Linked DNA regions of Tribolium castaneum. The protein of the gene in region 3 purifies or fractionates together with the protein of the main gene of each other region. This does not show direct contact. Links are inferred from orthologs where the notes say so. Each region holds a gene or a part of one and is shown on either strand. Other genes may lie near its edges.

Region 1 (4,075 bases), on a different chromosome or scaffold from region 3:
ACTTGATTTGGCGCAACGCTTTGGGGTTGCCCAAAGCACAGTTTCTAATATTATTTTAACATTTGTCCATGTAATATATGAAATTTTATATAAACAGTTTATGACGACAATGCCTTCGCGCGAAAAAAATAAATCTTGCTTGCCAACATGTTTTAGCAATTTTACTAATTGTAGAGCAGTTCTAGATTGTACCGAAATTTTCACTGTGGTATCACGTAAGTCTATGTCAACACAGAAATTAACATATAGTACTTACAAACATCATAATACTTTCAAAGGGCTAATTGGAGTTGCACCCAATGGTGTCATCACATTTGTAAGTGATTTATACGTGGGATCAACTTCTGATCAAAAAGTTGTTTTAAATTGTGGAATAATCGACATGTTAAAAACTGGAGATATGATTTTAGCCGATAAGGGATTTTTGATCCAAAATATTCTGCCACCAGGGGTCACTTTGAATATTCCACCTTTTTTATCAAATGTCCAATTTACACCAGAGCAAGTTAAGTGTACCGAAAATATTGCACGTGCAAGAATACACGTCGAAAGGGCAATACGCCGATTAAAATGTTATCATATTTTAAATTTTTTGCCAGAGTCTTTGTGCCACTATGGAGATATTGTTTTTAAAGCGACTGCCGCTTTAACAAACCTCCAATTTCCATTAATTAAAGAGGTAGCAGAATTGTTTCAGGATTGTGATGATTAAAATAATGTAAAATAAAAACCATCTATTTATATACAGTTTATTATTGTGAAATAAAGGAAATATATTGGTCAAGATAAAATTCTTTTAAAATATTGATATTTTCTGACCACCCCGGATCTTTTTCAATTTGAAATATCTCTGTGCACTTTGGTGTCCACACGACAAAGTAGCAGATACTTCGACCAGTGATGTGCATTTGCCCCTGTACTTGGTGGTAATAATTGTGATTGCTGTTAAGATTAATGTCCTCATTTTCATCCCTCCAATAAAAATATTTTTTATCCTTCAGGGCTTCAGACAAACTGTCAGTGTCCCTATATTTATATGGGCATTTAATTTCGAGAATCCCATCTTCTTCCACTAATCCATCAGGACTTGCTCCCAAAAAGCCTGATTCTTCCAACCTACAAAAAAAAGTAATATTACATTATTCATCTAAGTTATACGTGTTAATTATTTTCGACCTACCAAAATCCCGTCTCTTGGACTTTAAGATTCGTCGCTTCTTCAAATTCTCTGAGCGCTGTCTTCTCGTGGGTCTTACCCCACTGCACAGCAGCAACCCTGTCAAGCGAATAGCCTTCCGCCAAATTTTTAAATAAAGAGGGTGGGAATCTTCGTCTACTGCAAGCAGATAGTACCATGCCAAACCTGCTGGCCGTTAAACGATGTTTCCTTGCTACATGCCAATTTTCGTTAACATGTTGGCCCCGAGTGCACGCCTCAACCAGTTTAATGCGTGCCTCATCTATTCTGCACTTCTCCAAAAGAAACTTTTGTTTGTCTATGGCCTGCACGTATTCTAAGCTTTGTAGAATTTCTTCGATATCTGCAATAATTTTTCTGGCTTCTTCACTTGCTTCTGGTCTTAGGAGCCAAGTGAAGCCCACCACATTCGTGACGCCTATTTCGGCACGGAACTGAATAATTTCGTCCTCAGTAGAGGACCTAGACAGTGCCGTATAGTTTGATAATTTCGGCTTGTAAACATCAGCTAACTTAATGACTTCTGTTTGTGGTGTTGTTTTTGATGGGGCACTCCACTGACACTCAATGTCAGTAGCACTTACATTATAATGAGCATAATATAATGCTGCAGCCATATGATGGCAAGCCACGTTGCCCCTTGGGCAGGTACAATGTGCCGTCTTAACCCCTTCTTCTAGGTCATATGAAATCTAAAACACACTTTGTAGAAGAAATGTCTAACAGTTAAATAAATACAAACCTCCACAGTATAATTTAGCTTTTTCATGCTCGGTAGAACTTCTGCAGAAATTCTCATCGGTTGTACTGTGCCATCAAACCTAAATTTGGTGACGTGACCGCTGGTAAAAGCATTTTCTCCCCGAACTAAAAAGCGATTACCGTCCCCAAAAAATTTCGCAATAAAGTGAAACTTAACAATGTGCTTTTCTGCCACTAAAATGCATAAATATAATAGTTTCTCAAAGTATAATTAAAGCTTACTCACTTTCTCACCGACAACGTGGTTCCCTGTATTCTTTTATAAAGTTCGTATTTTCACAAAAAGTCACTTCTAAATTAAATTAAAGTCTCTAGTGGCACAAATTACACCCGCTGCAGCTATTTGACACGTTATTAACGCACAAACACAACCAAAAAACCGAAAAACGTATTACACCACATGTAAAAGACTGGTTGTTTAGCTTTGAGCAACTGACCTACCGTAATAAGAGTGGGGAGGTGACGTCACGACTGATAGCGCGTATTATAACTTTGACACAAATAAATATTTCAGTACACAAAAATAAATGGAATTATTTGGACAATCCAAGGTTGCGGTACGTCACCGTCGTGCTATTATTCCAGACCTTGGAGCTCACCTTTTTTCAGCTTCTTTTCGGCTTTGAGGCGCTCTTTCTCGAGGGCGGCCAGCTTTTTCTTGTCAAGGGGCGGCTTTTCGGCCAGGATCAGCTGCTCGCTGGCCACTTTGGCGTCGCTTTTGTTTTTGCTTTTCATATTTTTCGACACTAATTACACATGTACCGACTTTGCGCGCTCCGAACAGCAGGAAACTCTCTACTGAAAGCAAAAGCACCGACTGAAGCCCCGATGATGATGACTAACGAGTCGAACGGGAGTGGAGAGACGTGAGTGCAGCAATTTAAATTGTCAAATGTTTGACCGTTCATTGCACGCACGATGGTAATTTTAGTTTTACCTTTTGAGAAAAGTGCGGCCAATGTCTTGGCTGCCCGTGGATTGGATAAAAATATGGAATTGATCGCTGGAAGGTTGCGCTATTTTCGAGTGCATAAAACTGTCGCGGTTTCGACGAATTTGGAACGGGCGTTTTGCTTGGCTGGGAGTTCAATGAATGTGGGGTTTTGTTATCAATATATCAAAGTTTGTTTTAGGAATAGCGGATCTTGTGTACATCGCTGACTAAGTATAGTGCTCTAGTTCATTCACACAAATCCATCAACAAACGATTTTATAAAATTGTCGGGGTCGTAACTCAGAGAGAATTTAAACAATGATGAGCGGTTTACTTTCGCCAGAAATGCCATAAGTTATTAGAATGACACTTATTGTACTTCCGATGAAAGTACCTAAGCAGAAAAAAAGTGAAAATGTGTGGAGACAGGACAAAGTCGTCAAGAAATTAATTCAAACACCAGAAACCAAAAACTGGAATTTTCCAATCTATAAAGTGCAAAGTCTTTTCAAAAATATTTGTTTGTCAGCAAATTTAATCGGTTCAAAATTTTCTGATATTTATTTATTTTGCTTAGTCCTAGAAGACGGGAAGATTTCCACTGTTTTTCGTCCGAAAATAATTCCAGAAAAAATATAAACTCATAAATTTCCGGAAGTTTCCAGATGGAACGGAAATGAGATCTGACTGAGCATGTTTCAACAATTTTTACTCAAAAACCGACAATTCTGTTTTTTTATACTTTCACAAGTTTATTTCAACCATTTATTTTTTATAACAACACAGTTTTGGAATATGGTGTTAAGACAGTCAGGATGTTGTGTTCTCTCCCCTTATAAGAAAATAAGGAAGAATTTTCATCCTCGTATATTTAGTCATTTTCAATTTACTTTTGCAGAAGCCCAGACTTTTGGTTACAGAATAACCAACGTGTCTGATATTTAAACACAGTTACTTAACAAGAAAGATCCTTTCAGTGATGTAACGCTTTTGTAATCTCGGATGAAACTATGAGACAAATTTAATCAGCAAATAAATCATCTCTGCGAAAAAATAACATTTATTCTCACTTTTGCAACTCTCGGCGTTACATAACACATCCAGCAACAAAACTTCCAGTTGCTTTTTAGCAAATTACGCTCGAGAAACCTTGAAGTTTCCAACCTTGACTCCTCGTCACA
Region 2 (4,048 bases), on a different chromosome or scaffold from region 3:
AATGGGCTTTATATTTTGTTCCTGACTTATTTTATATGCGGCATTTATTTTTTTAAAAACTTCTTTTGTATAATTAGCATAAGAACACTTAATATGACACCTAAACACAAAAAATAAATAAATACAATAACACCTTATAAAATAAAATAAGAACGAAAAGACAAAGCTCTTTATGGGATACTACCAACAAGTTTTAGAACTTTTTTATTTGATTTTCTTCTTTTTTGATTTTTTTTATTTATAGTTTTAACTTTGTTATACAATGTGTTTTTAAATTTCCTTTTGTATAATTAGCATAAGAACACTTAATATGACACCTAAACACAAAAAATAAACAAAACACAATAACACCTTACAAAATAAAACAAGAACGAAAAGATAAAAAAGCTCTTTGTGCTATACTCTCAACAACTGATTTTCTTTTTTTTGACCTTCGTTTTACAATGTGTTTTGAATTTTTTTTGTATAATTAGCATAAGAACACTTAATGTGACACCTAAACATAAAAAATAAACAAAACGCAATAACACCTTACAAAATAAAACAAGAACGAAAAGATTTTGTTTGATATTATAATAACTGTCATAACTTTTTTATTTGATTTTCTTCTTTTTTTATTTTTTTTATTTATTTTTTTGAACTTTGTTATACAATGTGTTTTTAAATGATTGTTATCTAGTTAACTTTGAAAATGGTTTACACGTAAAGAAAATTGCGACGCTCTTCTCAATTGAATTCTCTGTCAATAAATGTCAAAACTGTCAGTTGTGAAATTAACAAATTGGCAATTAATTACTTTTAAAAAATTCGTTAAAATGCAACTAAATTGTTACACTGACTTAATACTTAATGACTTAATAAATGGAGAATGGTAATATTCGGTGTCTAAATGTCATTAATTCTTTATAGCGGCATTTCTGATTTTACAACGGAAATTCACAGACGACTAGATGAGAATCATTTAAAAACACATTGTACTTACCAGAAAAATAAAAATGTGTACTATCTAAATCACAAATCAAAAATATCAACTGCCATTTAAAAAAATGAAAAACGAATGACGTCAGAAATGTCAATGTGTAAAAAAAGGAAATCGACCTACTCGAAGATTTTTTGAAAAATGACTCATAACAAAAATATGAATTTTTGTGTGTTACTTTTGGTTCAGTCTGTATATTATTGTGCTCATTATCTTGGTGATTCTTATAAAACTACGGGGCTGACCAACTTAAGGCATCAGTATAAGATATTACAAACACATATTATTGAAACCACCCTGTGGAGTTAACTAAAATTTAAATAATCCATTCTGTAAGTAACAGTTGTGGTAAGAATTTGTAAAAAATGACCGAAAAGTTATTAACTTTAAAAACGCTCCAAAATAAGTGTCCGATCTAAGCTTACAATTTTAATCTAAATCGAACATTTAGATTTAAAAAGTTGACTAAAAAAAGTGATAAATAAAATGAAGACGCAAAAACTGAAGGACGTTAAAATCGTAATGAGATGATGAAAAGGCGCTTATCTCCCCTCAATTATCATATTTTCATTGGTGCGGATGAGAGAATGAAAGACACGGTTCTGGGCACTTATGTAACTCTTAATTACTGAAGAATTTTCATAGTTCCAAAGGAAATGGAGTACAATTGAAAACGCCACGCTTTTTTAAAGACTGTGGGACTGTGAAACCGGCAAAACAAACAATTCGACCACAAATAAAAATCAAATAATTATCGGAAAGGTCAAACCGATCTCTTCTGTGGAATTCAATTGCAAAATCTTTGGAAACGTCTTCAATTTCAAGCGACAAGTCGAGCGTTTCTACATTTCTACTTCACTTATTGCTGGAAATACATGAACCATTTGACACTTAAGCCATTAAAGCCGTGTATTACTTTCTAGATGTGCTTATTTGAATTTCTCCACTTTCATCAACAATCAAAAATATTTCATAACAATGCCGCGACTATCGCAATTACGCTATTGTTTCGTTATTGCTACAATTAGGCGGATTTTTTCCGTTATTAAGTGTTAATACGTGAAATGTCAACCGCTTTTCCGTTGTCGGATCGAATCACAGCGAATGCACGATGGCATGTATCCGGTCAAAGGGATTATGAAAAAATGTGCGCTGAATAAAAATGAAATAAAAGAACGGACAGTTAGGTGTGATTAGAGATTATCAATCATTCCGCAGAATGCACTTCCTTATTATGGAGCGGATTTTTCCGATCTTATCCGCGCATTTAATTTGTTTCTACCTCAGCTATTTAAAAATAATGTTGCCGTTTGATCGCAATTTTTGAAAGCAATCCTGGGAATCGCTTTATTGTTCTCGACGATTTCTCTCCGTAAAAAGACGCATTTAGCACAACCACCTTTAGTCAAAAATGTTTGTGTTTGTAAACTGTCACTGTGATTGATTTCTGTGATAATTAAATTAAACTTCCTCATTTTACTGGCCCCCAATTCGCAAAAATTGCAACACTAATTAACCAACGATTAATTTAAAAGCAATTAAGCAAATCTTAAATTCATAATGCTCAGCCACACGAGCAAATAACTGGACTCAATTACAAAATTGTTAGGTAACAGTTGAAAACTTCAATAAACTGCCTTGTTATCAAACGGTGTAAACAACTATTTACCCCCGAGGACACCACACTATTTTATTGCAACACTGTGTATTAGAATAACGTAAACAACCGCACACCTGAGCGTTTCAGGTTTACTACTACGAGCGCTCGCTCAAACCAACGACTGCACTGGTGGGGCTCACGAATTTCCCTTTCCAAGTAACCAAAAGTTACCTGAGGTTAATTACCATTGGGATGAAAGTTGGAAAATTCGCAGCAGGTGGAGCGTCATTGTGGACAAGGACGTCAATGATAAGCAAATATTGATAAGATCGTAACTATGCCTACCGCAAATTTACTGAGGATTTGTGCAATCACGGCGTAAATATTTAAACTTAAACAATTGGGCTTGATCGCTGGATCTCTCGGATTTGGGTTTGCATACAATGCGTCTGGCGTTATTTGAATGATTTCTTGTTATTACAGATATGTTTGCACGTTTCTGAGTCGGATAATGCCGGCTTTTACCACTCCCTGCACATTGTTGTTGAGCTATTTCGCCTTTTTTCCACACTTCCTCTGCTATTTGGTATTCAAATAGGGAAGTTGGAATATTTGCGCTAAATTACTGGTGATGAGGTGTGCGTGGCTGAAAATTCAAGTCGAGTTTCTCTAAATATTACACGAATTATTATCAGAGCCAAGCCCATCTCAAACACCTCATTTTCCATTCGCGGCTAATTGCGTCACATTTACGAGATAAAATGGATTTTCAATTCAAATCGGAGGATTTATTGTGCAATGTAAATCACGTTCCAGTTTTTTGAGATAAAAAATCGACAATGAAACGTTTCAATGACCCATAAATATGGGTGAAAACAATTGAAACGGAGAAAACGCCACTGATAGGTGTTGTATCAAAAGCGTATCAAGGTGTCACCAGAGAAATGCCTTCCATTTGAACAACTTACAAAAGGAAAACGAATAAAACGAATTTTTTTTTTAATTTAATCATAGCATGGAAGAATCATTTTGAATTTTATTGTACTGTATCATCTGATTTCGCAAAATATGCTCTTATCTTGGTTGAATAATAAGGATTTTTATTCTAAGAAAAAATTACTAAACAATTAAAATCACAAATGAGTAACTGAACGAATTAGGTCAGTAAAATGAACAAAAACGAAATTATTTATTATTCAATATCGAATAAAAAATTGACTGTTTTTCCTTGATTGAACAAATTACGGATTAATAAGCGGTACAAATTAAATGCACAGTATTTTATTTAAACGATAAGTATTTTTGATCAGTAAAAATAACAAATGCACAGTAAAAATAATAAATGCACAGCAAAAATGATAGATGCAAAGTAAAAATAATAAATGCACAGTAACAATGATAAATGCACAGTAAAAATGATAGATGCAAAGTAAAAATAGTAAATGCACAGTAAAAATAATAAATACACA
Region 3 (4,007 bases):
TGTGTAACACATTATTTTTACATATTAAAAAATAACAAGATTTCGCTTTTTCTTTACAGTAATGTCGGAAAAAAAATCTTATTAATTGTATGATTGCCTGTCAATATATAATATAATAAATTTTATTTATTTATTATTATTTTATTTTACAAAAAAATCTCAATCCAAACACCAAAATTAAATCTCATCTGCGGTAAAAAAATACTACATTGCACTTCACTAAGTCATCAAATGGTAGTGACACATTGTTTTCAATTTTTTTGCTTTTTTATGTATTAAATTCTGCAACGATCGTATTATTTGTTCAATTGGAAATAACTTAAACATAGATTATTTTCATAATTTCACATTTTTTTACTTTAATAACCGTTCACAAAATTTCTAGATTATTCACACCTTTTATGTGAAATAATTTTTCCATGGCCAACTGCTTTCAAATATTTTAAATATATTTTTTATCAAAAATATATAAAAATATCAAACTGTATTTATATTATTTTCAGTTTAAAAAAAAATAAGCTTTTCGAAAATGTCATAGCCAACTATGATTTCTATTTAAAGAAATACAACTTTATGTTATTACAGCTAAACGATTTATTAAAAAAATTCACTGATACCATAATTAAATTCTCTATAAAAAAAAGCCATATAACGTCTTTGTTTCAAATGTCTATATTTTATAATAAGGAAGATATAAATTTTTTAACATTTGGCCAAAATATCAACTTTTGTTTATAAGTCGAAAACAAAAAACTATAGCGAGATGCGGTTTTGACCAAAATTATTTTCTCAAAAAGCGGACCGGAAAATGTGTCTTGTTTTTCTCTAAACCTTTTAGTTTCGGAAATCCCCTATTTGTGCATAAATTTTTTATCTGTATTTTTAAGTGGCCTAAATTGTTATTTTTGCTCTACTTCTGTATAAACACACTCAGTTAACACCAAAGTAGCCGTAAAGCGTCTTCTAATCAGTGATTAAAATTTAAACTGGCATTAGTTCGTAAATCTGAGCATCTGATTGGTCCAATTCCCCTGATCTGGAAACGACGCTTCTAAAAACAGTCCCTTATTGTCAATCGAATGCTGTCCATTAGGACGCATAATTTAATTATTGTGGCATGCAGTGTGTGAAAGATAAGCAGGATTAAATAATTATTTATTCAATTTGGCGCCATTGTGACGTGGGCCGGAGGCAGCCGATGTGCGTCCGATCGCGTTCGGGTTTAGTGTGGCGGGCGCGGCCATATTGGCAGTACGTTGAGTGTCTGTGTTTTTTAGTGTTGTGAAATTTCTATCGATAATCATCGCAAAATGTCTGAACGGGAGGATAACGTCTACAAGGCGAAATTGGCAGAACAGGCCGAACGTTACGATGGTGCGTATATTTCCCCCCGATTCGGCCTCCTCCCGGCCCAAACGGCCATCATCTCGGGACGCTCCTCCATTTTCCGCCGCGGGGGTGCCCCGCGCCCGGGCGGCGGCGGGGCTGCGCCCCCGTGTGCATTCCGCGCGGGTGACTCATCGATCGGCGCCCGGCCCCGCAGCCCCCGCCGGAAAAAAGCCAAATGTCAGAATTTTCGCGACACCGGCCCACTGCCTATTGCGTAACTTCCGGTTTTGCACGTGCGTCACGTGATGGGGGTGGCGGATTCTGCCCCCGACCTTGTCCCATTTGCGGCGGAATTTTACGCTGCATTTTTAAAACGGGATTGATTTTTGAGGGCGGCCTGCACAGGGGTCGGGGGTGGCAGCGCGACGGCGGCGGCGAATGCCAATCGATAATCGCAGAGAAGAATGAGGATTTACCGAAATTACCAACAAAAGATGCACGTCGGGGGCGGGTAACTTGACTGCGAAATTTAGGGGGTTTGGGGGGTAAACATTTTATTGAATTATTTGTTCGCTCACGAAACGGCGAGACGTAAAAACGGGAGAGTTCTTGCCTAAATTTTTCATCGCGTCAATTTTTAATACAAACGGTGAATTTTTTACGTTTTACGTTACACAGTTGGCATTTAAAAATCACTAATAAGTACAGTCAGAAGGAGTGAAATTGTCGATACAATGGCCTACTTGTTTTAAAATTTAAATGCAACTAAAGTTATTCAATTTTTAATTTTACAAAATAGAAAGTAAACAAAGTCGATGGTGTTATCACAAACAAACACAAACTGTTGACAGTTTCGTATGTCGTCAAGTCCTTGAACTTAAATTATTGCAACGACGAAATTAGTTTTTTTACTTTGTCAACAGTTAACAAAAAATGCGTCAAAAATGTCACCGGCTTTTACATTCAACATTTGTGAAATATTAATTAAGCCGGAAATGTACCAACATTGCGTTTGGCTGGTGATTCATCCACCTCACCATTTTTGTCGAAGTTGATAGATATCGAAAAAATGTGACAAGTTGCCATGTTTGGACAATTTTATTGCATTTGATTGTACATTGTTTTATAACAGGTTGGATTAGTTTGGACAGTTTTATAGATGTAATTTAATTCCCGGTAATTCACCGAGAAACGATAATTCATTTTTATCAACTGATCGATTCTCTTATCAATAAGGGAAGACTGAGTTGAATGTCCTGTTTAAATTTCAAGTTTGTGTTATGCTCGATGAGTAATCAAATAACGTGATGTAAATGATGAGAAAGTACAAAACGCATTTTAATGAACAAATGTGTTACGAAAGCGAAAAATTCTATTGAAAATTGAAACACCGATTAATAAACGCCTTTGCTCACTGGAAACCAGCCTTCGTTTTTTGAGAAAATAATTTTAAATCTCAACAGAAGTTGACATTTTAGCGAAATCTTAAAAAAATCATATCTTCCTTATTATAAAAGATACACATTTGAAAAAAATACATTATACAGGCACTTTTTTTCAGAGAATCTAATAATGTTATCAGCGATTTTTTTCAACCATTCGTTTAACTGTAATAACATAAAGTTATATTTTTTTTAAATAGGAATCATAGTTGGCAATGACATTTTCGAAAAGCTTATTTTTTTCTGATTTAATGTCTATTTGTGTCATACGTTAAATTTAAATAATTAAGAAAAAACAAAACATTTCGCTTTTTCTTTATAGTTGGCCATGAAAAAATTTTGGATTTGTAATTAAAACTATGAAAATTGTATTACCTAACAGTAATTATAATTTGATGATTTTTTAAACCCTAATTAATTCAAAAACAGCATAATAAATTTTTATTAGATCAAATTTTTGCAATTAATAAAAATTATTTGTTTTTATATAAAATGGCAAGCTTACGTTGTATTTCTACATATTTTCAAATTTTAAACATGCAATGACGGAAGAAGAAAAATCTTATGATTGCGCATCAATAAAATTTTATTTTACAAAAAAATGACAATTCAAACTCCAAAATCAAATTCCACCTGCAGTAAAAAAATATACAACATTATCAATGTCACCTCCATTGCACTTTACTAAATCATAAAAAAGTGACATCAAATGGTAGTGACATATCGTTTGCTATTTTCTGTACATTTTTTATGTAATTAAAATCTGCGACGCTCGTATATTTATTCAATTGAAAATAACTTTAACATAGCTTATTTTGATAATTTCACATTTTTTACTTTAAAAACCGTTCACAAACTTTCTAGATTATTCACACCTTTTATGTGAAATAATTTTTCCATGGCCAACTACTTTAAAAAATTTAAATTTTTTTTATCAAAAATATATAAAAATATCTCACTATATTTATGTTGTTTTGAGTTCAGAAAACAATAAGACAAATAGACATATCAAATCAGAAAAAAATAAGCTTTTCAAAAATGTCATAGTCAACTATGATTCTCATTTAAAAAAAATACAACTTTATGTTATTACAGCTAAACGAATGATTAAAAAAAATTGCTGATAACATTATTAAATTCTTTGGCAAAAAGTGCCTGTATAATGTCTTTGTTTTAAATGTGTATCTTTTATAATAAGGAAGATGTTTTTTTTTTAAGATTTCACTAAAATGTCAA
Region 4 (4,078 bases), on a different chromosome or scaffold from region 3:
AGGGCCGGCAAAAATTTCGTAACGACCTGACTGTCCAGTTTGGGCTCTTTGAAGTCTTGGGAGTCGATCATGACCCAGGCACTTAGACCCAAAGCCAACATTCGCAAGAGCAAAATTAAAATCGTATTGTCCTAAAATATTCGTATAAAAATTATAATTTTGTTTCGAAAATTCTCATTATTTACCCTCGGCATCCCTTCTACGTATATGAGATGATGCAGGATTTTTATGGCCGACGTGGCCAAAAAATTAATGGCGTAGGGGTCGCATAAAGTCATTGATAAATCGCCCAGCACCTGCTCTTGGCCCCTCTTAACGTTATCCAAAAACCCTTGCAACTCCCTTGAGCGTTTAATGTCGACATTTTTTTCCCTAATGCAGGCATCAAGGCACCACGTAAATTTATGGCATGGATCTATCGAAATTATATCCTGAACTTCCAAATCGTGTAAGGCCATTAATAATTCGGCCCTCAAAGTGCAGTAATGCACGTTTCGGGTCCGCAAAAACAAAGTGCGAAGAAACTGGAGCACCATATCGTACAATTTAACACTGTTTCCAATCATGTGTGCCAACTTCTGGACGACTTCCCCTTGGCGCCGCACCTTGGGGGAAGGCCCGAAGAACTGGGTGCTGATGTTGGTGTGATCGAACAGCACGTTCTCTTTTTCGCTGATGTACTGACTCAAGAGAGGCGAGACCTCATCTCCGAAGAGCGACTGGTTGTCCTTCCAGATCTGCCGTTTGACTTCTGTGTCAGTGTCGTTGTACAGTTCCCGATCTCTAACTAATATTTTCAAATAGTTGTCGTCAATCTGTGGTGTGTTTTTCAAAATCGCCATCACTATCGGCCTTAAAGCCTTCACTTTGACCACAGGGAAACTCTTTACGAGTAAATCTTTCAGCTTCCTGTCCCTTTCGCGTCCTTCTTGCTTGCCGATTTCATTGATGTGTGCGATTAGTTTCTCTCGGAGTTCCTGAACCAACATCGTAATTTTTTCATTAAAGGGAAATAAATACAGCGAGTTGGGAACTTTATTCGGGAATTTTTTACTAATGGAATTTATGTCTACATGAATGGCAAACTTATCTCGCTGGACCTGAATGAGGGCACATAAAACACTTTATGTTTTGACGTTTTACTACCAAAGTTGGTTTTGTGAGATTACACGTTTATTTATGTATCTAATAGAATGTAAACCAACATTGCGTTTTATTACAAAACTTTTGTTCGTAACAATGCGGTTTAAAGCCAAAAACAATAAAATGTTTTTAAAAAAAGTACAATTACTGCAATCAGAAAAAAATCACAACAATTGAATAAGGAAATACGGTGTTAATACATTTTAATTGAAAATCAATAAATCCAGTTGTAAATTATGGAGTAATGAACGAAACAAGACACCAACCAAAAATGAGTCACATTATCGACCAACTCCTGAGCGCATTTTCATACAGTTTGCACCATAAAAGCAATTATAAACAGTTTTATAATTCTTATTAAGTAAAACCATGATACATTAAATACCATCTGATTTTCGGGATGTACTCGAGTAATAATCACATTCAAAACAACATTTAATTTAAATTTCATAATTATTATTATGAAAACATTAAAAACAACGTTGAATTTGACTTTTACCCTTTTTTCTAACTCAGATTTTCCTGAAACATCAATTTTTAGGAAAATGAGACGATTATTTTCAGGTTTTAGTCGTTGAAATTTGTTGAGTTTGAAAATCAACCCATTGAGGTCGTTTTAACACAAAAATGGAAAAATAACTTGTTTTTAAGCCCACTTTAGCTATTAAAACGTCGATTTTTTATGAAAAATACCCTATTTTTTATGTCCTTTTTAAAATGTGAGCCAGATTTTAATGCTAAAAATAAGGAAAACTAGGAAAGAGTGGGGTATAATGATCCCTCGAAAAATCCCTGTTTTGTAAAGATTTCTTAAAAAATATGAGCCAGGCGTAACAACTGAATCTGTGGTTTTTATTAAAAAAATAAATACATAGACAATAGAAAAATGACTAAGAAAAATCGGATAGTTTATAAACTATCTAGCTATTTTAGTTGAAACTGGGTTTTCTATTAGTTTGCAAACTAACCAGCTAGTGTACAAATTAGCCAAGTTTACACATTGACCGTAACATAGTTTAGTTTTAATTTTCTTTATTTGTTATTTTTGGGTAGGTATACGCCTTCCCCTTCACTGACGAAACTTATTGAACATTATTACTGTGTATGGTTTGTTTAAAATCAAATATATTGATGCCAGTTCTAGTGAACTTTAAAGTCCAACCCATCAGACATTGCCACTAATGAGGGGATTAATATTTAATGAGAATACTTTACCTCTACAACTGACATGTGAAAATCCAGTCTTCTCACCCCGTGTAGATCAAGTAATGGAAGCATTGGGCGTAATGAGGGTAAAAGTATCCCGTTTGTAACCTATAAGAAAGCGAATTTATTTACAAATCTATGGATAAAATCATGACAAAAAGTACCTGAAACTCTTCAATGGCTTTGAGCGGATCAGTGCAACTAGTTAAGGCATGTTTGAGGAAGGTGGGCCCGTGTATATTGAGGGCTTCCAAAGGGAAATCGTTTCTGGATGAAGACATTTTGCAGTACGAATCCTTACACTAGTAAAACATCAAATCGACGCAGTTTATCACTTAAATTCGGTGTTAGTATCACAGAGATTACAATTACACATCTCAATAAATATAAACACACAGCTTTCATAACCCATTATGAAAATATATTGTCAAAAAACACACCATTTGCTGTCAAAAGCGTCAAACAAAACAAAGGTCTTTCACCTATTTAAAATGCTGCGCTGTGATTGGTCGACGTCAAATACAATAAGAAGCGGTAAAAGCAGCACTATTCTAATAACTTCCGGTTTTTCAAAAGGCGAATTTTCAAAGTGACTCTGACAGTTGTCAGGAATTTTCGGCGATGCGTTAGGAGCATGTTTACATTGTGTAATATCGGGCAATTGGCGGAATTACGGTGATTTTGCGGTAAATTACGCCGAGTGTGACGACGTTAAGTGACGTAGAAATAGACGCTAGGTTGCACTAGTACGCAGATTTGGGGGAAGCCTATCAAAGCTTGTTGAAGAAATGGCATTCTTTTTGACACCCAAAGGCCTATAGTGCGCTAAATGTGGCTGGTTATCCGCCGTTCGAGTCGTAAATTCGTTAATTCATGGCTTTTTGGGGAGTTTCGTCGAGATTAATGTGAATTAACAACGTTACATGTATTGATCACCGTATAGGTTATGTTTCCAACTTTCATTAGCATCCTAGGTGTGTTTACGGAAATTCGCCGATTTGGCTTCTCAAGTGCTGTTTTCCCTAATTCTGGCCGTTGTTTCAGATATTCAATCATGGTGGGAGGTTCCAAGCATTGCACATTTTTGTTCATTGTTTCGAACAGCATTTAACCTTTTGGATTTTGATATCGAGGTAAAACCACGCAAACAATTCCTGCGTTCGGGTTTTGATTCGTTTTGCTTTGATCTAGGATTTGGAGGAGGCTCTCTTGACTGATGGGACGGAGGAAACCTCTTGGCTTCAAGAACTGATCGTGAGGCTTCTCAGTGGGTGCTTGCCGAACAATGAAATCTCAACGTTCAATTATCAGATGTTCCTGAGACGTCTCTTTCGCCAGAAATGTCAGGAACATGATCAATACAACCCATTTAACACAGACGTTGATTTCCAATTGTTACCTTTGAGAACAAAAGTGGACATTTTACATGCACTCTGTGATTTTCGTTTAGATGCTGATGATGTGCTTGACCAGCTGAAAAATTTAGAAGCAGACAGCTTGAGGGTTGAGCCCCTGGGTTATGACAGTAACGAATCTGCTTACTGGTATTTTTACGGTACTAGACTGTACAGAGAGGACTTTAAAACCAAGAATAATAAGAAGAAATCCGTGTGGCAGGTTATTTGTTTCACTGAAGACGATTGGTTTCAACTTAACAAGAAATTTAAAAAATCGACTGCTAAGTGTGAAAGAGAGTTACATCGTACTTTAAGTGAGAACTTCTTGCCTG

The links. The genes of interacting proteins can lie anywhere in the genome.
Region 1: the proteins of 14-3-3epsilon (region 3) and Unc-115a purify together in Homo sapiens (affinity purification with mass spectrometry; 3 studies listed by BioGRID and IntAct, with this or other methods). This does not show direct contact. The link is inferred for Tribolium castaneum from reciprocal best matches to the Homo sapiens genes YWHAE and ABLIM1.
Region 2: the proteins of 14-3-3epsilon (region 3) and partitioning defective 3 homolog B purify together in Homo sapiens (affinity purification with mass spectrometry; 3 studies listed by BioGRID and IntAct, with this or other methods). This does not show direct contact. The link is inferred for Tribolium castaneum from reciprocal best matches to the Homo sapiens genes YWHAE and PARD3.
Region 4: the proteins of 14-3-3epsilon (region 3) and NELF-B purify together in Homo sapiens (affinity purification with mass spectrometry; 3 studies listed by BioGRID and IntAct, with this or other methods). This does not show direct contact. The link is inferred for Tribolium castaneum from reciprocal best matches to the Homo sapiens genes YWHAE and NELFB.

Annotation. Positions count from the first base shown.
Region 1 is NC_087395.1:21,870,625-21,874,699, reverse strand, and holds the start of Unc-115a (actin-binding LIM protein 3), read right to left. Parts: upstream 2,801-4,075; 5' UTR 2,696-2,800; coding exon 2,560-2,695; intron 2,451-2,559; exon of another isoform or gene 2,188-2,450; coding exon of another isoform or gene 2,187-2,187; intron 2,135-2,186; coding exon of another isoform or gene 1,941-2,134; intron 1,891-1,940; coding exon of another isoform or gene 1,181-1,890; intron 1,117-1,180; coding exon of another isoform or gene 753-1,116; exon of another isoform or gene 713-752; coding exon of another isoform or gene 279-712; exon of another isoform or gene 216-278; coding exon of another isoform or gene 1-215. Other genes in the region: uncharacterized protein LOC135265271, read left to right, coding at 1-215, 279-712; uncharacterized protein LOC135265312, read right to left, coding at 753-1,116, 1,181-1,890, 1,941-2,134, 2,187-2,187. UniProt on the Homo sapiens protein: May act as scaffold protein. May play a role in the development of the retina. Has been suggested to play a role in axon guidance.
Region 2 is NC_087395.1:16,345,604-16,349,651, forward strand, and holds the start of partitioning defective 3 homolog B, read right to left. Parts: upstream 2,801-4,048; 5' UTR 2,649-2,800; intron 1-2,648. UniProt on the Homo sapiens protein: Adapter protein involved in asymmetrical cell division and cell polarization processes. Seems to play a central role in the formation of epithelial tight junctions. Targets the phosphatase PTEN to cell junctions.
Region 3 is NC_087401.1:11,229,210-11,233,216, reverse strand, and holds the start of 14-3-3epsilon (14-3-3 protein epsilon), read left to right. Parts: upstream 1-1,207; 5' UTR 1,208-1,310; coding exon 1,311-1,374; intron 1,375-4,007. UniProt on the Homo sapiens protein: Adapter protein implicated in the regulation of a large spectrum of both general and specialized signaling pathways. Binds to a large number of partners, usually by recognition of a phosphoserine or phosphothreonine motif.
Region 4 is NC_087394.1:30,669,130-30,673,207, forward strand, and holds the start of NELF-B (negative elongation factor B), read right to left. Parts: upstream 2,801-4,078; 5' UTR 2,631-2,800; coding exon 2,514-2,630; intron 2,458-2,513; coding exon 2,359-2,457; intron 978-2,358; coding exon 186-977; intron 172-185; exon of another isoform or gene 132-171; coding exon 1-131. Other genes in the region: uncharacterized protein dikar, read left to right, coding at 3,296-3,323, 3,394-3,482, 3,541-4,078. UniProt on the Homo sapiens protein: Essential component of the NELF complex, a complex that negatively regulates the elongation of transcription by RNA polymerase II.